Lepisosteus oculatus: one gene and its partners. The protein of the gene in region 4 interacts with the protein of the main gene of each other region in a pairwise test. Links are inferred from orthologs where the notes say so. Each region holds a gene or a part of one and is shown on either strand. Other genes may lie near its edges.

Region 1 (7,947 bases), on a different chromosome or scaffold from region 4:
AAACACACATGTTTATTGTAAATATTTCGTGAAAAGATGGGGGGTTTTATTCATTTGAAAGGTGCAGTGCCCTGATGCTTTACTTTGTTTTAAAAATTAAAGGTTGGAAGTCTGGTGTGAAAAGCCATTGTTTCCCTTTCAATAGTATTAAGTATTTAAGACTGTAAGTGACACTATGAAAAAGCCTCTGTTTTTTTAGTGAATAGGTAGGTTGATAAAGGCTACAAACCGCTGTATTAAACAACTTTATAATTACTATACAGCACCCTTCTGATTTATTTATAGTCTGCTAAAATAGAGACATCACATAACAGAATGATCTATGGATTGGACAATGTGTAATGTGTGATCTTAATAGCACTGCACAGAGCAAAGTCATATTTATCATAAATTATTTAGATTCATATTTATTCACACATCACTAGTTAGTATTAAATAAATCCTCTGGCATAGCTTATATTGACACAATGCCTTCTGTAATGTGATTCAGAAGAGGTTTTGGCATTTCTGAAGGGATTTGTGATCATTCCTCCAGGCAGTATTGCTCTAGGTACTTCAGACCCTTTGCTTTCCATTTCTGAACTGCCTTCAGGAGTGTGAAATAGACAGTCAAGAACATTCATTCTCGTGTGCACTTACAATTTCTTTGTAGATCTGGATGTACTGTATGCTTTGGCATTGTTATGCTGTTCTGTTTTTGGCTAAGTTTGAGCTTTGTGGCAGAGGAAGTTATGTGTTTGTCTAAACTGTCCTGGTATGTGCTGGTGTTCACGATTCCCTCTGATCCAATGATGCTAGCCTTAAGTTTTTTATTTTTTATAATGGATGCTACATGGAAAGAGATTGCTTTCTTTAAATTCTTTTATAGTTGTTCCCCAGCTTGTGGAATTCAATGATCAATTGTCTGCAGATATCAGAGAGCTCTCTGATCTTAACCACCATGATGCACGCTACTACTGACTGTTTTCCAGGTATTACCTCCTTTTAAACTCTAGGGAAGCAGAAAAACTTCAGAGGTCTCTGTATAGTTGATTTATATTGATTACAGTGTCAAATTCAAAACTATTTTATATGATGCTGTTTGTTCCTATTGCTTTGTACTGTACAGTATATACAAAGGTATATAGAGTTAAAGTACATACCAGACTATAGACTATAGATAAGTACTTTAGACTCAAGGTGTCCACTGTAGTCAAGGTGAGAGTCGGGGTCTGATCAAAGCTTTCCCTGTTACCATCTCACCATTTGGTCTGGGGATCACATGTATTAGTCAGCAATCCACAGTTGTATAGGTAAATTGATTTTCTATGCAAGTGCTTACCAGTCTCAGTTTGTAATGGATTGTGGAAAGCAGAGTTTCGGCATAATACAAAATAACTGAAAGCTGGAATATGTACAGTACAGATTTTCTTCTCTGTGTGTAATACGAGTCCCAATACCATCTCCCATAACTTTTACTTTGCAATCCTGCACCTCATTGTCATTAATAGATGGATAAATGTTTTACAGTGTTATCAGAGCACTTGCTTTCAGATCAGTGGCTTCAGCTGTGTACAGCAGGTGTTATCTTGCAGCTCCTCGTTCTGACTCTGAATCAGAGTGGCCCATAGTCTGTGTCAAAGGCTGGCAAACTGCCGAAAAAGCCCAGCCTCCCTCTCTCACCTTACTCGTCCTAAACTCAGGCATTAATCTCACTTTAACGGCATTAACCACCCCCAGGCTTCAAAGCAGGGCCTGAGAAAACAGAAAGGAAGATTTCTTCACAATGAATATTTGTGGTTGTTCCTCGCTGCCGAGTGTTGTTTCAAGACACCAATCCCCTTTCTCTCAGTGAAACAGGGATTAATTGAAGATTAAGGCCTTTCCTTTTTTCTGTATCCAGAAGTAAGTCTCAGGAAACCAAAGCACAGAGGTTAAAAAGTACCTTGTGACCACAATCTGAATGACCCTGAAATTTTAATCGTGGTGGAGTACTTTTTGCCTTTTTATTTGGAGAATAAAGATTATAATATTTTCGTCAATGCCATATGTATATTAAATATTTCTTTTTACAATCTGTGGTAGTCATAAATAATCAACAATGGGTATTTGGAACATATAGAATACTGGTTAGTATTTTATTCACTGTATGGATTAATTAATAGTCACGCTCTTGAAGCAAGCAACAAGGCTTTCAGTCTGAGTCCACAGTTTATTTTTTTATGAGCATTGTGGTTCTGGGTTTTGAAGCTCTGAAGACAATATACTCTTGAGTTGATGTTTTTTAGGCCAATGCCTGCACATACAGTAAATTAAGGAAGACCTGCTGCACACAAATCTGTATTCAAGTACTAATAAAGGTGTGACCAGAAATAAGTTAGTTCATATAGTTCAATAATGATAATAATAATAATATGCCACTGTATCTTCATAGGTCAATAAAATAGTGTTCTTTCTTACAAAAATCTGTACCCTATGAAGAAACTGCTCTGCTGCTCACTTTATATTCACATCTAAAGTTCCATTGAATGAAAGGCGCATTTTTCCATCACTAACACTTGCTCAGTGCCATCATTTCCAATCTGATATCTTATGTATATTTTTGGAATCCTTGAAAAGGTTATGATTTTCTATCACAACAGTGCATATTGTGTGTGTTTAAAAATGCATACGGGGTTATTTATCTTGTGATTATCGAAACAGATTTTACACAATACACAGAGCACCTTCATCTTTACCACCTTTTTGAACACCCAAATAACACAGTTCAAAACTTAACTTCATGCAGTAATGCAGCTAGCTAAAGGAAATCATTTAGAAAAGCAATTAACAGACTGTTAAACTAATACAAATGCAAACTATACAGTATGTTAAAATCTAAATACCATACTGTACTTTAGGTGTACTATCGCTATTACTACTTCAAATAATTATGATGATGATAGTAATATTGCTTCATTATTAAGGCCAGTATCCTGCACTTCAGCCTTTACATTTCAAGAGTACATTTATGGGTACAGTGCATGTATATCATTCAAAGGAAAAACAATTGAGTCGTGGGTAATGCCGCAATGTAGAAAGTTTAATGGTAAATACCGTATACAGTATATGTGCTTTAAAACAGAGACTTACTGTACAAGGAAGCAGAACTAACAGCTTATACACCAGCCTTAACTGTGTAGCTATTTTAGATAGGGAAAACCACCCCAGGAAAGCATTTCAAATTGTTAAAACAATGTCTATAACATGAGTCTATCAGCTGTTACTTTCATGGAATATTCATAGCTTGAAGAACACACTAGTCATATGAATAGACTGGTTATTTTAAAAAGTCATTGGCACAATGGGTCCTTTTCTCTAAGTGTAATTTTGTAACTTAAAGAAGTGTTAAGAATAACATTTAACCTACTGGTGGGAACATTTTTATTATCCATAAAAATAACCTGCAAAAGTGGTGTGTTTTTTATGCATTCTCATACTCTACTATTTTTTAATGACGGGTACCTGCAGGTCAAATTTAAAGACTAATTATGTCACTTTTTTTTTAGGAATTATGAGGACGGCGCAGTGTATTGTTTCATCTTTCAAGTACAAAACGTTCAGTGCATTGGAGGAATCTGATGTACAACTAAGCAGTTGCGTCTTCCCGTGTCTGTCACGGGATACAGTGTAGAGCAAACTGCTATAGTACTTGTGGAACAATACTTGTAGCTTCAGAAAATCTGATAACTCAGCGAGGATACTATTGAATACAGTATGTCAATCGGGGCTTTGCATGTGCGCTGTATCTTTAAAATGTGTAGATCATCGACTCCATATTTGATGCTGGCAGAAGCGATGCTTTAGCGCTGTCCAGCACTTGTTTTTAGACCTGGTTAATCAGATACTACCCATAGTTACATTGTTACATGTTACAGTGATGCCTAATTAAATTAAATCTAGGCGCTACAAGTGACCTGCAAAACGCAACTGATCGAGCAAAAGACCGTGTCCGTGACAGCGGGGTACTGTCAGGAATTCACTTACAATTATGAAGTTGCGGATCACATGCGTGATGTTGAAATACAGTTTTTGCTCACCACGACGCACGGAGTATTGACTTCTATTGACGGGATCTGTACATCATTTGAAACATCTGATTAAGGTCCGCTAAATGTGCTGCACTGAATCTAACACGCGCAACATATGACTTAAATATTGCTAATAAATCGGGTTTTTTTTTTGCAGCGTGTGTGTTATATACATGGCAGTTGTAATGCCTGTTAATGATCTGCAAAAACAAACATTGTTCACCTGTTTATTTGGCGTCAGTGAGAATTATTTATTTATAGGCTTCTTACACGTTATGTTTTAACAAATTGAGTGTTATGCATAACGCGGCCCCATGCATTTTGTACTTAAAAGTCTATAGTCATTCATATATTTTTAAAAATGTATCATTTCAGGACGACAGTTTACACGTTTTTGTATTCAAGTCTCACAAACATTTTCCATTAAACGTTATTTCACCGTCTAGACAGTGCTATTTTAAAAAAACCTGAGGCTGATGGCATTTTACTGTATGGCATAATTAGTTCCTAAACACGTCCCTCCAAATTTAGTACGCAATTCCTTTCCATCATTTTTCTGTCAGTAAAATGATTTTAGCCTGTTACATTACTCTTTTACAGCCCCGTAATCCGTCATTTGTAGCGCATGTTATTTAAAAGAGCATTTCCACACGTGCCAGATTTAAAACTCCGGTTGAAAAACAAAAAACAAAAGGCGAAGCACACCAAAACTAATCATGGCGCTTCTGTAATTTACTGTATCTACACACGCTCGAAAATACTTTCTCCGTAGTTTTTTTAAAGCCAGCATTAAAGATGGCAGCCCCCTAGGTGTCTCACTTTCGCAGCGTTTTGTGGTGCTAAAGAAAGAAAAAGAGTGAGTCAGTGCGGTGACGTCACCACTGTGTTGATTTGCTAACCCTAAAGCAGAGAGGAGCTAGTGCGTGTGAGAGCGGGTACTGTGAACTGTTGCGTTACTATGCTGCTGCCCCAATAACAACACATTCGGAAATTTAACGTGCAACCTAGGTAAGTACACATATCTTACGGGCTAGCAGCTTCTACACAAATGCATAGCAAACAGTCCCGTCACTCTGCATGCTTATTTGTTTTTGCTCTGCTGTTGGTACAGTAAAAGTGTAAAGGACCAACTCGTCGGTAATGTTACGCTTAACAAACCCCCAGAAGTTACACTGTCTCCAATACCGTGTCGCTAAATCGAGGTCTTCATGATCGCTTTCAGGAGGGGGAGGATGTTTTCGCATTTTGCGAAATACACTGCAAAAGTAATGAGACATTACTGTATGATATTTGGAAATCCAAAGTTGTTTCCATTTGAGAGATTTATAATCATATATATATATAAACGAATTCTGATGTTGACGCTGCTCGCTGTTTTAGTATTCTGGAGATCGCAACAAGAGAAACGTGTGGTCTGACTGTACAGTTGACTGCTCAGCAGACAGTGCCTACCTTGTGAATAGCTTTATCATATGAGGAGATACCCATGTTCTGAATCTGCGGAAGACTGTATACAAACATATTATCATCACAACCATTGTACAGGGTCATTTTATGTGTAAATATTTGTGAAGTAGCTGTAACAAATGCAGTGGCTTCATGCACTTGATGCGTTTACAGACAGTGGTCGCGGGAGCCGTGGTGTGAAATTATTACCAACACCGGTGTGGGTTAGGAAGCTGAACATTTATTGGGCACAGAGATCAGACGGAATGATACTGCACATCATACAGACGAGAAAGTGTTGGATTGGTAGCTAAGGGCTAATAAATCGCTAGATTTTTGAAGCCACCAATTTTCTGCAGGCAAGCCTTTGCGGGCAAAGAAAATTATTTTTAAGGTCTTCTGTAACAGTGAACGTGCAAGGTAGGATTTTACTACTTAGGTGCCTTTTAAAAGAATCAAATAATCCAGCATGGAATTAACATGTCAAATGTTTCTTATTTTAGCATTATGAGAAATTACTATAGGCGATTCACGTGGGTTAATCAGTGGCTTCTCTGAAGTCACCAATTAAAAGCGTGATTCAATCAATTGTAGTTGGGAGAGATTTTTTTCGGGTAGTGGATTATTTTTTTCCGAAATCTCGGAGAAGCAGCGATGTTCAGTAAGTCATTGTGACGGTGTTGTTCTGTTACTGTTATAAATATGTATTAGCGTTTCCATAACATGTTTTCTTTTTCGGGAAATGCGTTATTTTGGTCTGTTTCTCGGTACGCATTCTGTGTTTAACGATACAGTCTACGTTGAAGCCCGGAGTACAGTGGATAATTAGGCAGGGGTAGCATTAATTAAAAATTGCTGTTGTAAAAGTGCGGTGTTTTGTTTCTTGAAACCACAATGTATCGACTTTTTGTGGGTAATATAAAACCGTGCTTCAAAACATTTATAGTAAAATATAGCCTGCTATAACTGTTTACTCCTTAAGAAATATTAGCTAAAACACGAAGCACTTTTGCTTTTGCGCTCTGGAAAGTGCCATGATAGTAAATCTTGTGCGCTTTGTATATTAAGACAGTTGATATTTTTGTGGAATATTTTATAAACTACTTAATACGTTCAGAAGTTTGTGCTTTTCTCCCATGTGTTTTACTATTCTGCTAATACTTTTTAATTTTTTCGCGCAACGGTTAATAATGACGTTTCATGTCTTATAAATAACACAGTAAGTGGAAATTCAATTGAAGTCGTAATCCGACGTCCAATAGCATGTAAATCAAGTCAGTATATGTGCAGTAGACGTGCTTCTTTCGCATGATGACCCTAACCCCACATTCAGATGTCATACAGTATATTGTATATCGATTTAGTTTTAATTATATCGTTACAGAATGCGTTACAGATTTAAACGTATCATTGAAAGCGTTACGAATTGTATTATGTTTGGCAAGAAAGCACAAAATGGGCTATTTCTGATTTTATTCTGAAAAAGCGATGTAAAAGGTGCTCCCAAGAAGTTTTGCATGTTTAAAATACTCAGGGGATATTATGTGCCATGTAATTTATTTTTGCTTATAATGCGCGAAGGTCCATAACGTGTTAAATCTTTTCCCTCGATTTATAGATGAACGTCGTGTTAAGACGTTTAAAATAAAACTATGAAACAAAAATAAGTTTTTTTTTTCTGCAGTAGCAACTGGACTGTCTTATTTCGTGCGTTGGATGAGTTGCATTACACTTAAGAGTTTGAAAAATGTTTTCTGGTAGGCTTTAAGAAAATTCCCAGTCTAAAGTGAAGTGAAGCCTCAGATGATAAAGATGATAAAATATTAAAGATGTTTGTGTACACACATTCATGTACCTTTGTGGTGTTTGTTTACATAATATGTGGTGTTACATTTGCTCAAAACCCAAAGTAGGCAAGTAACTCTTAACATGTATTTTCACAATTTAAAGAAAACTCCAGTTTATGTACAGTACTGAATGCTTACTACAAGAATGCTTCGTGTTGAAATCCCCTCCCTGTTGTGAATGCAGCCGTTTGATTAACCAGTCACATTCCCTTGTATCTGTACAGTCTGCTGATTTACTAGCAATGATTAGGTTTAATCTGTGTTTTGAATGCACTTATAACCCTTTTTCGATGAAAGTATTATGGACCAGAAAGATGCTGTATTTATTTTTATTAGGTAATGCACTTTACTCACCATTAATGTGTAAACTATTCGTTTGCTACGCTTGTAATGCCTGGTAGGATCGATAAAAAGTAAAACGTCTTTCTTTTAAATGCGCAAAAGTTTTTGTTGATATGAAAATGGAAATATGGAATCTCGATCAAAGTTAGACCTTGGCTTGATAGATTTCGTCTAATGCTGCTCTTTTTGTTTAAAAAAATGTAAAGGATTTTTTGCGTCTACAAATGTGCACATTCGTGATTTAAGTTTTCTTTTTGTGAGTT
Region 2 (7,479 bases), on a different chromosome or scaffold from region 4:
GAACTCCCTGCACCTGGAAAGTCTGCCACTGGATCTGCCCAGAGGGGGTCACTGTCTGGGCCTGTATCAAAAAAGTCCCTGGATTGAGCAGCTGCAAGTTCTGCAGGGCTTGAGGAGAGATGGTCTGCCCTGTGGCCTGAACCTGCTGCTGGGAGAGTCCCTGGATGACCTGGGCTTCACTGGTGCTCTGCGCCTGGACCTGCTGCAGCTGGATGATGGGCTGCGCCGTGGAGACCTGGATATTCTGCACCTGGTTCTGGTCCGACAGAGCCGTCTGGATGTAGTTTTCCTGAAGGCTGGAGGGATCCACCTGCTCGCTGGCCGAGGAGGAGGACGTAGCTTGATGAAGCACACCTGTACCGTCTATCGTTTCGTGCAGCTGGGAAGAGGAGGTGGTTGGCACGTACATGTCTTGGTTAGTGTTGGAATTGTTTGCAGATAGTGTTTGGGAAAGGTGCTCACCAGTCTTTTCGGAGCTGTCCGAGTTGTCCATAGCTTGGCCAGTCATGATCAACTGGCCGTCAGAGGTCACCCCTGTAGCTATGGCCTGAGCAGCACCTGAAAGCCCTAGGGAGTCCAGATCAACACTGTTGATCGGTACAAAAGTAATATTTCCAGGCAACCCCACAGGCACATTAGTAACAACCTGACCCTGGCTGTTATATGTGGAGCTGCCGAGAGAAACTCCTTGAATCTGGACAGGCCCACCAGGATGATGAACGTGCCCAGCCTGCGATATGAGGTTCTGGCTGTTAGTAAGGATGTCTGCAGAAGATGTCCCGGCAACGGTTATGCTTTGATTCCCATCAGGCATGATCTGGATCTGCCCTGTGGCATCCTGGCCCAGAGTTGCCCCATCTACCGCAGAAGTTGAAAAGCCCAGCTGTACCTGCTGGCCATCTGCAGTCTGAATCTGTGGAATCACCTGGTACTGTATATTAGGCACTGCGCTGGCAGAGGTGTCTGTTCCTGAAGTTACAAAAATCTGTTGGTTTTGCAGATTCTGAATTGGAAGAACATACTGTCCATTTGATGTTACTATCCCTGTATTCGGAATCTGGACTAAGCCTGGTTCCTCCTTTATCGTTGCTGTAGGTGCCAAGACTTCCCATCTATTAGCTGTCCCTGTTAACTGTATGGAAGTGAGATCTGCAGGCTAAAACACAGACAAAAAAAAAGGTGACCGGAGTTAATTTTCTGCCAGAAATTCCTAGTAAATGCATCAGTTGTTGTTGTTTTTTTTGTGAACTGTAGAGCAAAAAGCACTTGGCCAAATGAAAGTCATTTTTACACTAGCATTTTACTAAATGTGTTACTAAGTGGAAATCAATAAGCCGCCAGCGATAAGATAAAAAGCTACACTTTTCATGGGAAAGTCGACAGCTGGAGGGGATTTGTAAGACATCACTGATTTATTAAAGGAGTGTAGCCTATTTGCAAAAGATCTGGGTGAAAATATAGATTTCTCCTGCTCTTTCACTGCAGGAGTGAAATTATTGTGGTACTGGTTCTCTATGCCACAAGGCTTCAGCTCAAACCTATCGATACCCTGCAGAGCACTTTCAAGTCTGTGGTACTATTAGAAATGAAGGCAAGCCAAGATTTTTCTTATAAGCTGAAGGCAGGTTTATATATTGTACATAGTAGGCATAATCGAGAAATGTAACTGATCTGAAATGGTGTAGTGTCACAAAAAAAGACGAATAAGTGTAAGGGGGCAGAGAAAACGAAAGGCTGGCAGCCTTTTCAAACATAATTAAATCACGTCAGTAATAAAAGGCACATTTAAAAAAAAACGTTTCTTTTACACTGCTTAACAAGCGATTTAACAGACCTCATCACCCACTGATCGATGAATAATTGGAGGAATTAAATTCATCTCTTGAAAGAGGAAAAAAAAGCAGCATCCGGACACCAACAGGCACTTTGAACCCACGGCCATTACACACTGCTTTTAATTTCAAACCTCAGCTCGTCGCTTTATTTGTCAAGGATCAGCGTGTCGTGATCATAATGCATGGTTGGATGTTACTCTGAACACCGGGTTTGCTTCAGCACTGGGGCTGACTTAGCGCTCTGCCGGCCGTGGCTGTTTTTGTGTTTACAGTCCACGCTGCAGTGCATTTGCACAGGGCGGGCTGCTGGTTTCGGTTCGGCTACGGTTCTAGCAGCGGGGGTGACTTACCACGCCAGCGACAGCACAGCCATCCTCCTCTGGCGATGGCGACCCGATCTTGCTGCAGGTAGCTGCTAGCAGAGCGAGCGGTGACGGCTGAGTGTCCTACCCACAATGGGCGGGTTTAAAAAGAAGAAAGTGGGTGGCCGTTAGTCCGGAGCTACACAGGAAGTACGACTTTTTTTTTTACAACATCAAATTTTAAAACGTGTGAACTTCACAAAAAACACCATGCATTTACAACAAACCTGGCAGAAGAGCAAGCGAGGGGCAGCTAGGAGAAAAAATTACCTGGTTTCCTCCGCCGCCGCCGTGCTGCAGATAGTCGCTCTGACTGCTGTCCACGTCTAAGGCAGCCATTTCCTCTTGTTTCACTGGCTTTTCAGGGGCTACAGAAAGGCACAGAGAAGAGGGAAACAGAGCAAAACAAATCATTCCTCTCCACTTTCCGCTCGCCAAAACCACACTAAACAGCATCCAAACTCCACACGGACGCACAAAACTCCCAGATTGACTCCCGACAGGATCGTTTCTGTTAGGATTTCGATGCAAATTCTTTAAAGCTTTAACTTTAGCGTTTAAATCGCAACTGCTGGCTTGTGCCGCTGCTGAAAAAAGATTAAAGACTTAAGGGTTACACAAACTCACCGGTGATGGTGTGCTTGAATCAGTTTAAATGTTACGTACCAGTCATAGCGTAAATGGTTTAAATCGTGAGATTCTCGATTTATTTAAACGCCAAACATGATTATTTTAATCAAAGGCGGGCTGCGATCGGTGATTCGAGTCGATTTTTTTTCTATTTTGATTGACGGTGCGGGAAACACAAAAGGTGGGGCTTCCAGGCTTGACGGTAAAGTTTGCGTCACGCACAGGAAGTTCCGCCTTTCTTCTTTAAAGTGATTGGTTGGTGCGGATGGTTTCCTCGGTTGGCAGTAGACAGAGGGTCCGTCGCTCATTTTTTGTAGCTCGAGTGTTTCCTGTTTGTTATTCATGGAGCTGTAGGCAAATGCCAGGAAGTTGTTCAAAGAACGAATCGGCCATTAAAGTTGTTATATTGTCACGGAATGCCGAATGTTTACGTTTTCGCTTTTTATAGAGCCTAACTACTGTACAGTGATTGTGTTATCGTTACAAAATAGAAACGAGGCGTTTGTTTCTAAACTCACACTTGAACGTCTGTGAGAAAAGATTAGGCGAATTCGTCTATTTTAACTGGGCTACAGTTTAAACTACAGTTTTCAACATTGAATTCTTTTTGTTCTAATATTTTGCTAACGATTCTTTAAAATAAGAAAGCTATGCCGAATTGGTGTACCCGGTGACAGCAAATTGCTTTCTAAAATGCACATATCCTAAAAATAATATGTACACAGGATAACTGAAGCGTAAAATGTGAAAACCTGTAATACTTTAGGGTTCAATTCAGCTATGTGCGATCACGAAATCACGCTATAAGAAAGTGGTTTATGGACGTGTTGCACACCACATATGAGCTCTGCGAAGCTGCCACAGTTCTTTGGAGTCATAAGGATAGAGCTTACTCACCGAATGATACAGGCTGTCCGCTTATGTTAAATGTATAGCACACACTGGACGTTATATTACTGTATATCCTTTTGCCAACTATTTTGAAAAAATGCCTTTGAAGTTGGATATATGAAATACACGAAGTCACAGTGTTTTAGTTCAATAAATAATGCCTTACAGTCCTCCCGAATTCCACGTGCAATGTATGTTCCACCCATCAACAAAACCTCTACCACAGAGAAACAGAAGTTCAGAGAACCTGACAGTAATATACAGTTATTCCAGGCTACTCAAAATAACGTATAATAATTATTTTCAGTGCTCATTCTAGCAAACTCACTTAAGCTTACTAACCAGATATTATCTGAACAGTAGGTTCGTTTTAACTGCCAAACATATGTGGTGTGGCGACACTCAGAATATCATAGCTGCCAGTTTAATTTACATCCAAACAGAAACTGTTGTGTGTGAAAGAAAATTGAAACTAATGGTTAAACAATTCAGATATATATACGCTGGTAAGTGGAATCCATATTGGTTCTTTATCTGATGAAAAAAGAAAAACATTCCAGGCAGATTACATGAAAAGCCTTCCTTTTTTAATGGAGAACACTTTAGGCTTACTCTTTATTTTAAAAAAATGCTGTCTAGGCATTACTCTTTCTTTTAACCACATATTTGTGTCGTCTTCTTTTTTTTGTCTTCACATAAGTACCCTGTGTTGCACCCATTGCTTTCTGGGATAGGCTCTGACTCCCCCATGACCCTGAATTAGAAGAAGCAGTTAGAAGGTGGATGTCTAGATCATATGTGCTTTTACCTTTACACCTAATACTGGATCTCCCCCTATTAAGCCAGTTTCCAAATAAGTGTGTTAAGGCCATACCACGCTTACTCTCTGTAGTAATATACTGTATATTACTATATTGTACTGTGTTGAATTACCCCCCTAATCCATGTGTTGTTATTACTCCACTGCCAAATACATGCACTTATCTCTTCCTGCATGGTAAATATTTTTAAAGTATTTTGCATTATCATATCTAGTATTGCATTATTTTGCTGTCTGTTTTATATATAAGTTTATGATATTGATCTATGCAACTATAAGTTCACTTGCATAAGGGCTTCTGTTAACAACAAGACATCATCAATGGTATCCTCGTCACCGATGGACAACAGTATACTTCACTGGCAAATTTGACAAATATTATGATTTCTGTTTTGACCGTAGTAGCCAGCACGTCAGGGGTGTGATGACAGTTTGGTGAATGTATACTTCCAAATCATGTAGAGGAACACATTAAGTGCTGCATGAGGAAACAGACTTTATGATATCCAGGTTGTCACCCTAGTCATTAGACTGTGATACCATGGAATAGGACATTTGGCCTAAACTTTATTTGGACTGATTCTGTGACCCATCACAGAAGGATCAGCAATTTCTTACAGCTTATCCCGAACAGGAAAAATGAGGATTCACACTGAGATCTGATTCTGAACGCATTGAAGCAATGTGAGATACTGTCTAGGCAACACCAGAACTCTGCAGGAGCTGTAGGACAACATTGTCTGGGACGGAGCTCTAACAGCAAGATCAGCCTCACACTTGTGGGATGTGGTTGCTTCCTGAGTGACTCCCCAAAAGATGGCGCACAACTGACTGAGCGTGACTAAAGGTGGTATGTGAGATTAGTCAGCATGGGTTCTCTCTCAGCTCTCAGTGACACAGAGCCCCCCCTCCTCCGCCTCTTTTGCAGGCATGGGGTTCTGCTGCTCGGGTATGTGCCTCATCTCCAATCGGTGCTGAACCTCCAGTACAGGATTGTGTTGCTCACGTTGTGTTAAAAGACAAATCCTAAAGATGGATGTGTCTGAGGAATCTACCTACAACTGTGTGCAGCCAAACAATTTGCACTTGCGATTCAGACTTGTTAAATAAATGTTTGTCTTTGTATGTGCTCTGCCAGTTTTGTGTTGGTATAACATAATTGGCATTTCTACATGTATGAAGTAGGTTTGTAAGGGTTTCATCAGGTGGTACGGTGGCTCTGTGGCTAAGGATCTGCGCCTGTGGCTGGAAGGTTGCCGGCTCGTATCGCGTAGCTGGCAGAGGAATCCTACTCCGTTGGGCCCCTGAGCAAGGCCCTTAACCCCAACTGCTCCAGGGGTGCTGTACAATGGCAGACCCTGCGCTCTGACCCCAAGCTTCTCTCCCTGTCTGTGTGTCTCATGAAGAGCATGCTAGGGTCTGTGGAAAGACTAATTCCTAATACAAGAAATTGTATATGGCCAATAAAGTGATCTTAGGTGTTTCAAACTGTTTTCACTACATCCTGAACGTATACAAATACATAGGAAGTGAGACAGCCTAAAAAATGTGCTCATGACCAAACATGGAAGTGAAATTTCACATGCATGGAGGATGTAGTGCCATCAATTGTTCTCAAAGTCTCTTCTCTTTGTTTTGCACTGAAGGTTAAACTGCATATCAAGAGCATGTGCCATTCAATAAATTCACACAGTATTCATGAAAATCCTGATCCCCAGCAAATGCTTATTAGCAGATATTTCATCAACACTTCTTTACTCTAGCCACAACGCTTTTATATTATCAAAGGGTAACTGAGCCCTCAAGCATCTATATACAGCTACTGTATGTTAGTGTGGAAAATACCTCATTTCATTTTAATAAGCGGACCTTGAACTAAATGAACCCAATGGTATACAACGCCATACTTCACTATAAAAACTATAAAAAAATACAACCCAATTTGCCTCAAGTATCCTGCATATAATAGACTATACATTTGGAGTTTTACTGAGTGGAAACATATGCCTTAATTCAGATGCAGGATTATACAAAACACTGTGTTGGAGTTAATCAACAGGCCTGTTGATGATACTCAGTGGCTAGTTGGTATCCTGAATGGCTTTCTCCAAGACTTCATTGGTAGATCGGGTTGTTTAAAAATGACAAACCAAATAAGCAGTTCTGCATTTCAAAATCATCAATATTCCCTACAACAAGCTTTTTTTGTTCCTAAACAGAACGTTTGACATATTTACATGTATTTGGCATTATTGGAGTGACGCATGCAATTATAGTTGCAATTGTTTTTTAGTTTCTTCTATTGTAGTAAGCAAGATGAGGGAAATTGTGCTTAGTATTGCAATTATCTTGTGTCTTACCACATAGCAAATATGCAGAAATAATAGATAAATAGAAAAAAAAACATGCCTGCATCTCCATTTTGTGGAAACCTTAGACACAAATGCCCTGTTTTCATCTGTTACCAACAGGGAGTCTGATTTCAAGTTACTATGTGGACATATTGTCTCAGCCACAATTCCCATCAGCAGGGCGTAAATTTAAATTTTTTCCAACAAAGACTATGGGGCATCTGGTATTGATTTACATATTGTTATATGTCCTTATATATTTCTGTATGTACACAGGATGAGTTCCCATGCATATACAGTATGCGTTCCTTTAAAGTAAACTACGAGTAACTGATGTTCTTTGGAAAAACAGACCTCTTTTTAACAAACCCCAAGATTCAAAATAAGCACTACTGAGCATCCTTCATGCTGTGTCATTTCCTCTGATATTGTGATGGGAACAGAGTGATTTCATCAACCTGCAATTCAGGCTCTGACCATTAGAGTCGGACTACAAAGCACTTCCCTTGCGCTCAGGGGCTCGTGGAAACAAATGACGGATACTTCTAATCACTTTCCTGTCACTCCTGGTGGCAGGTGAAATCGGGGTT
Region 3 (7,707 bases), about 2.4 Mb from region 4:
CACAGACATTCTTGCTGGATATTCAAGATAACGATCGAATTTTTTTAAAAGAAATCACCAGATCCTTTTAGACCCACTTTCACTATGATCAGTAAATCTGCCACCTTTATGTAGCAAATAATAGATGGACGAATCTCCCTACGGGGAGTTGCTACAGTATCTAGAGCTCCAACTAAGGGCTGTAGCGCCCTCTGCATCATAAAACCTGAACGTTTGCGAGGGGCAAAGGAGACAGTCGACATACAGTACAGTACGGCAGCTACTGTACTACTATAAAATGGTAATACTGTAGCTTCTAAACCCAGTTTAAAATACCTCAGTAGATCAAGACTTCATTTTGAATTTTAGGTATCTTTTTCCTTCATGGTTAACTTAAATAGCAGTATTGAACACTTCCTTTATCTTGTTGCCACCAAAGTATGAGTAAATAGCTGACTTGCTCTGATTGGTATTGTGAATTTGACGTACCTCTGAAAACATTGTTAAGCATATACTGTAGCCTGCAATGTAACTGAAGATTGCGTTTAAACCGAAACGCTCACTCCACCAAAAGGGATCAATATATTATTGTAGCCACAGATATTTAATTGAGGAAAGTACTGTAATACAGAAAATCTCATCAGCTTTTTTCAGTTCTTAATATTGCAGTGCTACAAGCTTTAAATTATTCTAGTAATCTAAAAGGTCATTAACACGTAAAAAATACACAAGGCCTTTAACAAATAAGAGTAAACTAGTGTCGAAAGTGTATGGAAGTACAGTATACTGTACGTGCATGCTGTCAAGCTGTATGTGAAAATGAATTCATCCAACGAAATAATAATCTAAAGAATCAAAATCCTAGGCTTCTGTTTATTGCATCTTACATTTTTTTTCCATTAAAAAACGAGACAGCAAAATACTACTCTTGAAATCCATGCACTTGGTATCATGCTGTGGCCTTTGTATGAATGAATACATGCAGATTTTTTCACACCATACTACGTGCTACCAAATTGGTAGACAAAGAAACGCCTTGTCTGCTTCAATAGTCTTTTAAGTTAATTGCACATACTGTATGTACGCTTTTACAACACTGTGTCTCAAAAGTTAAACTGAGGCATTCTCACAATCTTACGTTAAAGTCAATTGAAGCTACTCTACCATGCATTTTTTATAGTTTCTAATTAATCAATGTGAATTACTGCATTAAAAAGTTTTCTAACACAAAACCAAGACATCTGTATCTTCATAAAGTAGGTATAATGGCTTCTAGTTCTCTAAAAAAATTTGAAGCCATATCACAGACCAAAATTCTTAATTAGATTAAGCAGCAAGAAGCAATTATTTTGTGATATCAAAACCTTCACATTGCTTCAAACTATCCAAGCAGGGTCAGGAAAAAAACGTACGAAGACGCTAAGCGATGCGTCCGTACTGCATCAATACCAAACAGCTTCATTTCGGCAATAAGGATGGAACCAGCGATAATACACCGAAAACCTTGTTTGTGCCTGAAGTAAGGTGAAGTTAAAAAATAAACCACAGCTGTCTTGGTTTACAAATGCCAAAGCCATACTAGGTAATAGCTCAAATGCGAACTTTTTTAAAACAGTGTTTCTTGTTGTATTGAAAAAAAGCAACAAATTAAATATGAATGAATTTTATATTAATCGTATCATTACGTTTTCTGTTGGTTATAAATAAAGAGCGGGGTTTTAAAGAACACGTGAGAAACAGTTATGATAACACAGTACATGCAATCTTTCATGGTCAGTATACAGTATGAGTAGGATTTATGCTTTTAAGTCCTAGAGTAATGGATTTGTATCCTACCTTTCCATTTTCCTGTCCCTGTAGTAACTCCTTGCCAGCTGGATATTTAATTTCCACTCCCAGGGTCTTATCGTCCCTGTCGCTGGGGGAACTGATAATCGAGCCGGAGACCTCGCTCACATCACTAGCTGTCTCGCTGAAATTGTCCCCTTCCAGCATCTCCCGGCTTCCACTCCTCGGGGTACGGTTCCCTTTCCTCCCTACGCTGTAAGAATCGAAATCTATGGTCTTGTTCTCGTAGGCCCCCTCCACAGAAGCAAACATTCCCCATGACTTTTGCCGCGGGGTCTGTGCAGTGGTACCTGGTCTGGCCAAGTAAACTGGCAAGTCATCTTCTTTATTCCAGTTTCTCCTACGCTCAGCCATCCCAATGCGAGTCAACAGACGGAAAATCCAAATCCGATCAGGAAACGCTAACCATAAATGAAAAAGAAGCAATGCGGTAAATTTGATCAGCTCCAAAAATAAAACACGCTCCTCTGGTCACCGCTACCGCCAGCTGAGAACCAATCACAAATAGCTGCAATTTGATTTATAAAGACAGCGAATCCAGTATTCCTGTTCGACCTTGGCGATTACAAAGGAGTACTGCAATGCACTGATCCTCTGGAGCAGCGCAACTCGAGGGAAAAATACCAGTTTGCGCCGAAGTCTGGCTCCAGCTGGAGAACGTAGTTGCTATACATCAACCGCTTTGCAACAGTCTATCGATTGTTCAAGAACATGGCCAATTAGCTAAACTAAAAAGCAGCTCCAAGCACTAAAACAGTTGCAGAATAAAATATTTTCCCAGTTCTTTGAAGCGCAAAACCTGTCGTTAACAGAAAAGGATGCTGCAGTGAGCAGGAACAAAGCACGACAACGGTTAAAAGATGTATACCCACGGTCCAGAAAACCGTTTCCTCATTTTGCAGACGACTCCGTTTACAAGCACATGGATGGTAACGAATGATAAAAATAACAACAAAAACTTAATTCAACGAATAATCCTTAATCGACTAATGCAATTATACCCATAGCATGCAGGTGTCTTCATTTACCAACCAAGAATTTCAATCTGGATGAAAAGCTTATGGTCGTGAACGATTAAAAACGCCTTCTTTTAAAATAAGCCCCAACCGTAAAGTTGCAAGGTGGATGTGAGTTTATACGTATGTAGCGGTGGCAAATACTACTGTAGATGTAAGGCATGTAAGGCACTGACACGGAAGTAAAACGTCTTGCTACTGCGTACTTTTAGCATTGTCTGCACCAGTCTTTATTCACAGCTGATGACTGGTTAAATTACAACGCCAAGATGACTCAAACCTCAACGATCTGTCATTGCAAACGCAAAACACATCGCTGGTTGTCTCACATAGTTACTGTATATCGGAATACACTGGGAGCTGTCCATCAGCACTTGCTGTAGTTTTGCCTTTAGCGTGCGCCACACACATTTTTTTAAGCTTTTAAACGTGGTACTGCAATGTAGGCTTTAGTACAGGAATATCCACCCATTTTGATTAATAGCTTTATCCTTAGAGAGTCGTGTTACTACTGTCCAAGCAAACCGCATGCGGTTAATTTTTTCTTCTACACTGGTCAATTGAACTAGTCAGGCTTTGTTAGTGTGGATCAATGATGGCATAGAAAAAAAAATAATTTACTGTCAAAAGCTTTTTGCTGAAATAAGGCAATAAAAAGGACGTTTTAAAATCTATTGCATTTAAGTTATATTAAAATGATGAGGAAAGAGACTGGACAAAGAACTGTGACCTTTATTATCTTTAATTAAGACTTCTGCATTTTAAAGGCTGACATACAGTAGATGTACAAGTAGCTGCTATTACAAAGGTTCTTGGCTTGACTTCCGAGACCCATTTCAATGATTCACAGCCAAAGATACTTTTAACATAACATACACCAGAGAAATAACACTACTAATAAATTAGTTTTAAAAAACTTGATTTAAAGCAGAATTATTCCACTCATACTCTCAATGACCACAGGCTGTTATGTTATCTCACATTTTTAAGCAAGTCAAGCTAAAGCTGACGTAACCAGGCCTGGAAGGCACTTCACTGTTTTACTACATGACTGAGCAGTACTTAAAAAAAGTTCATTATGTTCTTTACATTTAATGTATTGAAACATGTCATTTAAATAACGAACAGCACAAATATTAAAACTAGAGCACACATCTAATATGTTTACTTTAATCATAATAGTATAATAACAATCATATACTGTACAGTACAGCAAATAATGACTGTTGTACAAGGTAATAAGGGAAAAAGCCTGGTTTTCCAGTCCTTTCAAAAAGATATCCCTCAGTGAGCAACAGGACATGCTGTTTGACTAGTGTATCTCCCAGCCACGCTGTCACAAGTTACATGCTTTTCTTAAGTAAGGAATGGAGAAGGGTGTGTGTGTAGGGGAGCATTCTTTTTGTTAAGGAGTGATCTCCTTGTTATAAGAAGTATCGCAGTATAAGAACACTGCCGAATAGATTCAAAAACAGTTTCATCCCCCAAGCAGTCTGCATCTTAAACAGCTCAAATTAGCACCTGCATATATTTGCACCTGCACTTTAAGGTATGGCACTGTTTGCACTGTATCCTGTCTTGGCTGTATTATAACATCTATTGTCTAAATTTATTGTCCATGTCTGTTTGTCATTTGTGCCTATTTTTTGTTTTTTTCTCTAATGTTATTTGGTACAGCCAAACAAGTAAGCATTCCAATACACTTGTTGTATATGGCAAATAAAGAAATCTTGAATCTTGAATCTTGAATCTTGATTCTTGAATCTTGTTGTTCTATACCTGTATTCTCTGCTGTATAGCAAGGCTGCTGATGGAGAATTACTTCCATGCACCAGATACTCAATTCCAATGGAAGATGAATTGTTCCCCTGTCATTGTTCCAATGTAAAACTACACCATTTACCATTTACCCCTATCCAAAATAATTTTCTTTTCATTTTTTCACCCTTAAGAGTGTTCAGTTTGAGCATTCACATTTTCGTTAAATATTACACATCACCTGCAATTAGAAAGTTGGACATCTTTGGAAAGGGGTCCACACACCAGTAGGTACACTCATTTAATTTCAGTGCAGCAACAGATTGGAAGGAAGTAGTTTTGGATCAGAAGCCTCACTATACAGTACAGAATAAAGGTATATTAATACACAAATATACAAGTATATTTAGAACTGAGATAAGCAGGTAGTTTTAGCACAAAGGAATGGAGGTCTGGAACAAGCCACCTAAACATGTTGTAAAAGCTGATACCCTAGTGTCTTTAAAGAAATGTTTTAGTAGCAACCAAATAGGCTAGATGTACAGTAAGCTGTCTCATGTTCCTTAACAAGAAAAAAGTTGTTTTGTCTCTAGACACGAATAGATGCTATTGGACTGACACAATGACATCTAATAATGTATCTGTATTTAAAGGGATATAATTGAAGAGGATGTACATAAAATCCCACTTTTTTTCTTAGGCACATTTTCAGCTCTTACATTCATCTTTTCCAGGTTCATTGGCTAATTGACTAGAGCGACTATTAAAATGCGTAAATAACTTAAATGAAAAACATTAGGATTGAGGTCTTTTGTAAATACAGTAGTTCATATTCCTTAAGTCATAAACTGCTAATAAGAATTACCTTGTCTCCAGATGTAATACACCATAAAGTAAGCAAAAATAATATAAATGTATGGGTTATTCAAAGTTTAACTGGTAGTACTGAGGAGGGCTAATTTTGTGGACAATTATTAAAAATACCACAAATGTACCTTTGCCTGAAAAATATTTAAAAATGCTGTGTGTGCTTCTAGTAAAGAAAAATAAAACAATTCATGCTGCAATGTTTTTCTACTAAATTTATTTTTTTTACAATTTTTACAAATATTACAGAAATCAATACATCTTAAAATACAAAAATACATTTGTATTAACAAGATAATTGTTCGCGTATTTACAATTAAATACAAGTATTAATAATAAAGCTACCATACACAGAGCATAAACCCAAGGGAAAGCTCATATAGTTTCACTCTACTACTAATCTTAACAAAAGTAAATGCTTTTTGTAATCACACATTGCATGTCTAGACATTTATACACAGTGAAAGGCCTTGGGTTGCAATATACAGTAAGAGCTGTAAGATTGACAAAATCATGACAAACATCATACAGATGTATTATGGTGCTCCTTTAACTAAAAACCCAAAGGCACAAAGGGGATAACTTTCAAGTTCTTGTCATTGTTTTTTTCCATGTGTAGGAAGGGTTTTCTTTTAGAAATAAAACGTACATTAAACTAAATGAATATGAAAATAGTTCCAACACATAAAAAGTCATTTTAATTCGATAAGGTAAGCATGGTTGTAGAATAAGTGAGCAAAGCGGATTAAAAATCTTTGGAATTAACCCTGCTGTATTTGGTTAGATCTGAAATTGGACACTACTGTAACAAGTAAGCATAATCCTATGGTCTGCCCCCTCTCTGCCTCCATAAGGCACTAAAGGATTTCCAAAGGATCTCACTGACATGCCATTAAATAAATTGACATTCTGTCCAGTATTAGCAAAAACTCTCCTTCTAGTGTTATGTTAAATTAGTAGATATATACTATATATACATAAAGTTATCCATTCATAAGATATCTGCTAGGCTGATTGTGCCAAATGCTTAAATGAAAAACAAATTATTTATGAAATAGAAACAAGCAAGTGATTAAAAGTATACTACAATTGTATCACAGTGCAGTATTTTAAAAATGGAAAAAAACAAACAAACAGCTTACAGTATGACTGTGAAATACAAAACTTTTTCAATTTTATAAAGAGCCCACAATTCAGTATTTAATTTCAATCAGTTCATGCTCTCTGGATTTTTCATTATGTGCAATATATTACATATTTTTAAGGGAAATCTGTGTTCATAAACTGGGCAATCTGTACAGTATGTTCTTAATCCAATGCATGTTTTTTCAATGTGTGTCTTGTGTGTATAACTGCACATAAACTTGCACTATAAACTGTTCCCTAACACCTTTTATTGAGTTTCCTCCTCAGTATTAGTCTCACCTTGGAAATGTGATGAATGTCACTGTCCTCAGTTGGTAAAGTCTGTTTCTAGGTGAAAAGGCAAGTGTTCGTAAGCACCCTATAAATGCTTAATACCAATGTAAAGGCATAAATAACCCTATAAGAAAACAGGAGCTGAGATTTTAAAAATAATGTATTGGTTATAAAGCTCATGTTATACACCACCCACTTAATTTTTGATCCAAGCTTCTTCTGTCTTATAACCATTCAATGTTTATTTGAATACTTAAACTCATCAAACCTTTTAACATTTAAGCCTACTTCATAGTTTACGTTAACAAAGTAGCAAGAGGCAAGATATTCTGCTGAAATAAGATGCTTCCTAAATGTTTTTAAATGTTTAATACTTCAATCTTAAATATAGTGTCAATTTTAGAACTGATTTCCCATGAAAAACATGAAATATATACATACTGATAAACTTTGTACACGTTGCACCATATGTTTATATTGTAAAAGGAAGCAGCAGAAAATAAGTGTAATATTAGGTAAGTGGCAATTTCTAATAAACAGTTATAAATAGTACAAAACAAATAGTACTATAAGAATTTGCTGAAATAAACAGTAAATGACATACACAATAAGATACATAACAGTTTTATAGCTTGGTAAACAGCAAACCTCAAAGTTTCAAGAACATGGTCATCTTTAAAAGAGATGAATACACCAAAATACTTGGAATGTATAGACAGATCAAATTTGAAGAGAAAGGCAAGAATTTGGTACCAGGCCTAGGTTATAGCATTGCTGATTAGTAACTAGCACCATAGGTTTGTGCATGATAAACAGTTTA
Region 4 (7,661 bases):
TACGGTGTGTTCTTTCGGTTCCACACAAGCCTCCTCTGTGGACTGACCAAGATATAGTTGACTCCTGGACATTTCCTCCCATCTCGACCACAGAGCTCAGCAACTCTGAAAAGGTTACTGTTGGCCTCGTGGTTAACTCTGTTCTTCCTTGTTCCTCCGACTGGAAGGAACAGTGTCTGGGGGCCTTCCACCTCACCAGGCTCAGAGATATTAGGGTATCTGAAATGTTTTCATTTATTTTATATTACTGTATGTATTTTAATTTTTCATCTGTTCTGATGTCTGTTTTTGCTTGTCTTGGGATGGGCTGCTGTAACACTTCCTTTTCCCTTTGGGATCAATAAAGTCTTATCTATCTCACTACCTGATCGAGGGGCCTTACCGAGTTATATTTATTCATATCATACCATTAGACAATGGCCACTCAACTAATTGTTTGTCTCATTAAAGTAATTTTGTGCACCTAGATTAACTGAGATTTGCCACGGCAATGGTTTTGAATGTTTATGCAGTCATTACTATTCCTGTTTTTCTTTCATATTATCCATTAACTCTTTCTTCTTCTTTGCTTTGAAGGCGGGGCGTGGGTTGTATATTAAACAAATATTAATTGCTACTAAAGTCACTGCAAGCTTTAAAGCAAGAAAATGTGAAAACTGTGCAAGGGTCTCAATACTTTTGGAAGGCACTGGAATAGCCTCTATAAAACAACATACTTAGGTATCTGAAAAAAGGAACAGCCTATAAATTATATTAGCTGTTTTCTACATACTAAAAGGTAACAACACAGAGTTTTACCTGTACAGTATATGCTTTGTGGCACTGAGTATCACAAAGCAAAACGCAACTCAAAGAAATTACTAGCAAACTGAGCTCTGTGATCTATGTACTGAATTGTCAGTCACTATCTTTAAGAACTCGATTGTATAATGTCACAAAGCATTCCACATCCCATGCATTCCTTCAATATACTATTCAACGACTAAGTTGAAGTTGTGTGAATACTTTGCACCTTCACAAAAAGCCTTGCATTGCTACACTACTGTAGTAGTGGATTGTTGCACTGTATATGTACAACACTACATTCTTAGTTATCTAGGGGTCAGTAGCAACCTGTTCAATGAGAATGACATCTCCGAGATGGATGATTACACAGATTTAATAAAGTAGTCACAAGACCTTTCATTGTTTAGTGTTTCCAGTACGGTGAAGAAGGATAACATATTCCAATCCCGTGAAATCACAGACTACTGATGCAACATCTATATTGTTAAAGTTAAATTCCGGACATGGAGTGTTATCTGTGTGGGTGGCACAATGGCAGAGTGGTTAGCATTGCTGCCTCGCAGTACTGGGGCCCTGGGTTCAAAACTGGGGGTCTATCTGCACAGAGTTCATATGTTCTCCCCTGGTTCATCTGGGTTTCCTCTGGGTACTCATGTTTCCAACCACAGTAGGTTAATTGGCATCTGGGAAAATTGGCCCTGGTGTGAGTGTCAGTATGTCTGCATGTCTGTCCTGTGATGGACTGGCATCCTGTCCAGAATATACCCCACCTTGTGCACCTTGCTGAGATAGGCTCCAGCTCCCCCTCAACCCTGAATTGGATGAAGCAGTTAGAAAATGGAGGAATGAGAATTAATTTTATGTAGGTTACATGTGTAAGAGCTAGGGGTGAGTGGTAGAGTTGTTTTGCACCGTGTACAATCACTTATTTAAGAGATTTTATCTATACAGGACATCATTGATACAGCAGAGTTTCTGAGGCTGAGACACTCGTAACTGGTTTCAAAAGTGATATAGACCTGGCAGAGCATGCTACAGGTAAACTTAAAAACTGTAACTGTATCATGTCTTGCACCGATGTTACAGAAACAGTAGCTTTCATACACTGCACAAACCAAAATAGGACCGTATAGTGCTGCATATACAACATGAGCGGAATTTAAAAACTATGGAAATATTCACTGACAGAATGTATTTTTAAGAAGTATTGCACAGCAGATAATGTTTTCAAAGTGCCATCTATCCTAAATCTTGAATTAACAGACGTTTTTTTTATCTTTTAACTATTATGACTAACATATATCAATACAACTGTGTCATTGCAATACTGTGTTTTGAAATTCGCAGCTCCTGTACCTGTTTGTGCTTATCACCGACACCTACGCCACACCACAAACTGCCCGACTTTCATTATCTAGCCACCCCTGCCCCGAAAACTACATACTGTATATAAAAAAAATCGATTTTCAAACAGATCTTTGTACAAGAAAACTCTAAGTTAACTTGATTCCCTGGGATCTGCACCAGGAGCAACCAGAGGTACGACTGCGTTCGCTGTTTACGATGTAGTAGGGAGTTTGGCTAATCTTTCCGTGTATTTACAAACCAACAACGAAAGAGCTTTCCAAGGCAGATGAGTTTGTGTGCATTTATTATTGATGCACCTACAGCGATCGGGTACGCAACCGCCGCAAACACCACCCGTAGGGACAACTCCAAGTAATTTACGATGACTTGATCTCGACTGTTCAATCACTGCTACGCTGCCCACCAACCCAGGGCACCGCCATTCAGTGCCCGGTCTCGTCACCTCGCTTGCTCTGTACTTACTGTTTCTGAACTAGCTCTTCGGCCGATGGTGGTCCCTGTTGTTGCTGGAATGACTTGAGAGACTCGAAGGCCTTCATCAGTTTCTCCATGGTGGCCATTTTAACAGGAATAATATTTACAAATAACACAAACAGCGGGGCAACGCAAAGACGTTAAGGAAGGGAACGGCCTACGCGCTTCATGCGTGTTAAATCCAGCCACGGGTTTGGGCTCCGCGACACCCCACCTGTCACGGGGATTTCGTTACGGTTTTTAAAAATCTATCATTTAAATGAATGGGACTTAGTTGCTGTTATATCCAATTTTGTTAGCCATCTTTGATGCATCCCATCAGCCTCCCTCCTAGCAAGGAAGTATATTCCCTGACAGCTTGAGGGGGAGCCGCGCTGTGAGTGGCTGATCGGGAGCCGCTTGTGTTTGATTGAGAGGACGGGAGAGCAATAACACGACCGGGGCTGTCTTCATCTCGGCAAGAGGGCGGCGTGGGTTTACTTACCAAAGCGGCTCAGAGGCTGAATGTACCACGAAGTTTTCTTGCTGGGAGGCTGCCTTCTGATTGGTCACCGTATTATTTTTATTGAACAGCAAAATAAATCCCTCTTTTTACCCAAAAAAACATGACCTTAAGGCCACAGGTTTCTGATCTGATGTTGATGGTAATTAGTTTGAAGATTGGTAATCAGTAAAGTGTGGAGATGAGCTTCCTGTCCTGTCAAGAGAAATTTCTCTTTTGTCCTATCATACAAATGTTGTGGTACGTGTACTGAAAACCACAAAAGCAGAGCTTCGACTCTCGTGTGTAGTACTCTGGATCCATGATCTGGATATTTCGATGAATTTGTGATAGTGGTGGCTAGCTAGTGAAATAATGGCATGTTGCATCACATATCTGGGATGTCCCTGTGGACGGTAAAGTAAGTAGCAGGGACTTTCAAATGCATTTGGGGGAAAACGGCACAATACAGCAAATGTCAGTGGTCAGTTGATATATCAATTAATATGTTTAATAGGAACATTTTTTATACAGGGTAGTGCTGTGGTTAGCATTGCCTCCTCACAGCTCTGGGGCCCTGGGTTCAATTCCAGACCTGGGGTGCTATCTGTGTGGAGTTTATATGTTCTCCCCATGTTCATGCAGGTTTTCTCTGGGTGCTCCCATAATTCCAAAGACATTCTATTAGATCAATTGGATTTTGGGAAAACTGGTCCTAAGTGTAGGGGTGTTTGTGTCTGCCCTGCAATGGACTGGTATCCCATCCAGGGTGAATCATGCCTCACACCTTTTGCTTGGTGGGACAGGCTCTGGCTCCCCTGTGACCCTGAATTGGGTAAAGCAGTTACAAAATGGATGGAAAACCACAGGAAGGGTCTAACTACTTGTGCAAGGCACTGTACACTTCTTTTCAAATTACCTAGCAGATCTGGTAAAAAAATGTATCTGTATGATTATCTGTTCAGGGAAATCATATTTATTAGCCAGGGCTTTGAATAGCATCCCGTACTCCAGTGGTTTGGTATAATTTTCCAAATGCATGCTTCAGGTTTTTTTAAAAAAAACCTGTTTGATTGCAGTATTTGTAGGTGACATTCTTTCCACAGAGGGAACGTCCTTTAAGTCTTTTTACACACCTAAAGAGCCTGCAGCCAAGAAAAGAACCCAGACCTCGTCTATTCCTACCCCTGTTGGATGGGACTCAAAAATAAGACAGTAATATAGTCCAGGTGAACTTTAACACAACAAGCCTTTATTATTAACAAATGCATTTATTTACATTTATGAAAACATAATATGCTATAGAACGATTGACGAGCATTTACACTCAGTCCTTCCAACACAGATTTCAGTTCTTTGCTAGGGGTGCAAATGTGTATAGCGCACAGCCCCCTATGGTCTTGACATTATAAAATGATCCAACACATTTTAAATTGATAATGTATTCAAATTTGAATGCTTAGACAGAAAAGTTCTAATGGTAAATTATGTTGCAGTAAATAACAGATTTTTTTTTGCATTAGCATTATAGTATTAAAGCAGTATTCTTTTATCTAGGTCATAAACAGCATGAGTGGTTTGTGATGAAAGGTCCACAATTGCCTGGTGAAGAGAATCATATGGTGGTATGTGGGTAACCTCAGTTCAAGGATGCATGAATTCAATATTTGGTAGAAACTATTGGCAGCAATTACAGCTATTCTTGGCTACCTTTTGACAGCAAGTACAACTGCAGTTCTTTTTGGGTTAGCCCCCACCAACTGTGCTTACTGACATTCTGAACTGGCCACTCAATTCCATTAACGTTCTTATTCCTAAGACTTTGGCCCTGCATTCTGGGTCATTCTCCTGCTGAAAGGCTAATGTTCCTCCCAGTTTTAGGTCTTTATGAGATTGAAACAGGTTTTCTTCTGTTTTGGTCCATTCATTTTCCATTAGTCTTCTCAGTTCCTTATGAGAAGCAGGCCCATAACATAATACTGTCACCACCATGCTTGACGCAGGGAATGGTGTTGACTGTGTATTGCAGTTGGGTTTGCATTATATGCACTGCTTTGCAATTGTCCTGTATATTTGTAGTGTCCCTTAGGTGCATTGTTGGAAATCCCATGTGAGATTGGAGATGTAAATTAAAAGATCCATACAAAGCCCCTTTGTGGACTGGCTGGGATATTGTTGACCCATGGACATTTTCTCTGATCTAAGCTCTTTCAAAATCACTGTTGGCCTCACTCTGGAATCCATAACTATTTTTTTCCTTTTCCAGTTTGGAGGTACAGCCTGATCTAGGCAGTGTCTGGGTGCCTCCTACTTCTTAATGATCAACTTCACGATCCTCAAAGAGATATTAAGGGTCTTTGATATGTTTTTATACCTATCTCCCAATCTTTTACTTTACACACATTTATTCCTGAGTTCTTTAGAAAAATACTCGGTTTTATGATCCATTCACTACCTGACCAAGGAACCTTACAGAGACAGGTCTATTATTTGAAAATCATGTGAACTGCTTTTATTACATACACACTGAGACTACTAAACTAATTCTGTGTCTTGTTAAGGTAATTAACTTAGGTTTGCCACAGCTAGTGTTGGGATATTTCTGCAATCATAACTTTACCATTTTTCTTTCATTTATCTGTTTTTTTCCTTTTTTTGCTTTAGTGTTTGGAGCAGATTGTATAAGAGACAAGAATTTCTACTTGAAAGTGTCATGATTGTAAGCTTTAAATCCAACTGTGTAAACTGAGCAAGGGTCTGAATACATTTGCAAGGCACAAGGTCTATCATTGTATAATGGCAGCCAAGCCGAATGTATAGAAGGGGTGAGAGGCAACCCTTTCCCCTCTTTAAATATGTAATATTTATAAGTAATTTTAACAAGAGATGTTTCCGTTTTCAGCACTGTCAAAAATATATATTTTACTAGCCCTTTCACCAGTACATGACACCAGGATAGTTCATACTTTTTTAAAACCACCAAAGACAATTCACACACTACCTTATTTTTCTCAGCTAAATCTGAAATTCAGCTGTTTATTTTTGGGCAGCTTTAATCACTTTATGGCCCTGCGATGGACTGCCTTCCCATCCAGGGTGTGTCCTCCCTTGTGTCTGTTGCTCACCAGTAGACTCTGGCTCCACCATGACCCTCAGTTGTTAGAAACGTGTTAGAAAATGGATGGATTAATCTCTTTATGCTCACTTAGGGAGAGCTGCCTATATATATATTGATAAAACACCTTGTAAAAAATAAGAATCTTTACTTGTTGCTGGATCCAAACATTTTTTTTTTTCCTTTTGTGTTGTAATAGTGTTTTTTAGAGATTTTTTTTTTTGGTTAAAAGAATTGTACATTACATTTACAGGAGAAAAGATCATTTTTGTAAAGCTAATGATAAAAGCTGGACTCACAAAAAGGGTTAGCAGTGTGCCTATGAGGTGATTTCATTTTTACCACAAAACTGCATCTTCCTTCAGCTTTGTCATACAGTGAATTGGTCATGTTTGTGATATTCCCACTCTGCTGCACAGCAAGATACACATTTTACTCCACAAAACAGAATAACTAATGTACAATTTCGAAACTAGAAATTATTTTTTTCTAAACTGATGGTTATGTAACCATCATGGGTTACAAGCCATCCCTTGTGTGAAACGTTAAATTCAAGAACAGTTCTCCAAGTAGTCAATCATGTTAATTACTGGGAAGCAAAATGAGCAAATTTAAAGCTTGAGTCTATCATAGCATTACAGCAAATAAAATTCAATTGGCTGAAGCACCCACTGAAATAGCTTTGTTTAAATAAAGCACAGGGAAGCTATTTTGTACAAACGGCAGTGTTTTATTTCATAATTACAAATGTCAGATATGGTACAACAACCAGTGATAGAACTTGTACAAGAAATACACTTACTGCAGTGGTTGAAAGACAAGACTGTACAACTACAAAATCGGTCACCTTGCATTAATAAAGGCGGCATCCAATATTTCTGATATGTTGGCACTGTAATATAATTTACAAACAAGAAACCTGAAGATTACTACCGATACATGCTTGATTAGTAAAACATTTTAAAACAGGCATTAAAATGCACTTTGTGCAGACATTCAAACTGTTAAAAGTATTTCCTTACCAGCAAAATTCTGGGAAACTGAATACGGTTAGATTAGTCCCTCTGATAAAGGTTTTTTTTTTAGAAAAAAGGTTTGATAATTGGTACATGGTTAAAGGCCAAAGTCTGTCTTAAATGTCCCATTTAAAATAGTGGAATGAGCCATCACAGACTCTCCTTCAATTCTTGGTTTGACGTTATTGGTAACATCTGCAACACTTCTATTTTGATGCCCTGTTACAAAAGCCCACAATGCAACAAAACTATCATTTGATTCCTGCTGTTCTTTGGGGGAGCCCAAACGTTTCTACATAACCCTTACTTTGACACTGGGTTTCTCAATGATTAAGAATGGATGCTTTTAGCAGCTTACCACAGTACATTTTCTTTGTCTGGAGTCTGACCATACTTTTTCTTGCCTTGTCTTCCCAGTCTG

The links.
Region 1: the proteins of htt (region 4) and zbtb16a interact in binary tests that used the Homo sapiens proteins (3 or more experiments, as listed by UniProt). The link is inferred for Lepisosteus oculatus from reciprocal best matches to the Homo sapiens genes HTT and ZBTB16.
Region 2: the proteins of htt (region 4) and transcription factor Sp3 interact in binary tests that used the Homo sapiens proteins (3 or more experiments, as listed by UniProt). The link is inferred for Lepisosteus oculatus from reciprocal best matches to the Homo sapiens genes HTT and SP3.
Region 3: the proteins of htt (region 4) and dihydropyrimidinase-related protein 1 interact in binary tests that used the Homo sapiens proteins (3 or more experiments, as listed by UniProt). The link is inferred for Lepisosteus oculatus from reciprocal best matches to the Homo sapiens genes HTT and CRMP1.

Annotation. Positions count from the first base shown.
Region 1 is NC_090718.1:9,937,867-9,945,813, forward strand, and holds the start of zbtb16a (zinc finger and BTB domain-containing protein 16-A), read left to right. Parts: upstream 1-4,947; 5' UTR 4,948-5,057; intron 5,058-5,425; exon of another isoform or gene 5,426-5,915; intron 5,916-7,947. UniProt on the Homo sapiens protein: Acts as a transcriptional repressor. Transcriptional repression may be mediated through recruitment of histone deacetylases to target promoters. May play a role in myeloid maturation and in the development and/or maintenance of other differentiated tissues.
Region 2 is NC_090707.1:16,898,802-16,906,280, forward strand, and holds the start of transcription factor Sp3, read right to left. Parts: upstream 3,009-7,479; 5' UTR 2,871-3,008; coding exon 2,864-2,870; exon of another isoform or gene 2,825-2,863; intron 2,566-2,824; coding exon 2,468-2,565; intron 2,282-2,467; coding exon 2,186-2,281; intron 1,157-2,185; coding exon 1-1,156. UniProt on the Homo sapiens protein: Transcriptional factor that can act as an activator or repressor depending on isoform and/or post-translational modifications. Binds to GT and GC boxes promoter elements. Competes with SP1 for the GC-box promoters.
Region 3 is NC_090696.1:43,014,017-43,021,723, reverse strand, and holds the start of dihydropyrimidinase-related protein 1, read right to left. Parts: upstream 3,017-7,707; 5' UTR 2,182-3,016; coding exon 1,816-2,181; intron 176-1,815; exon of another isoform or gene 10-175; coding exon of another isoform or gene 1-9.
Region 4 is NC_090696.1:40,625,957-40,633,617, reverse strand, and holds the start of htt (huntingtin), read right to left. Parts: upstream 3,018-7,661; 5' UTR 2,715-3,017; coding exon 2,617-2,714; intron 1-2,616.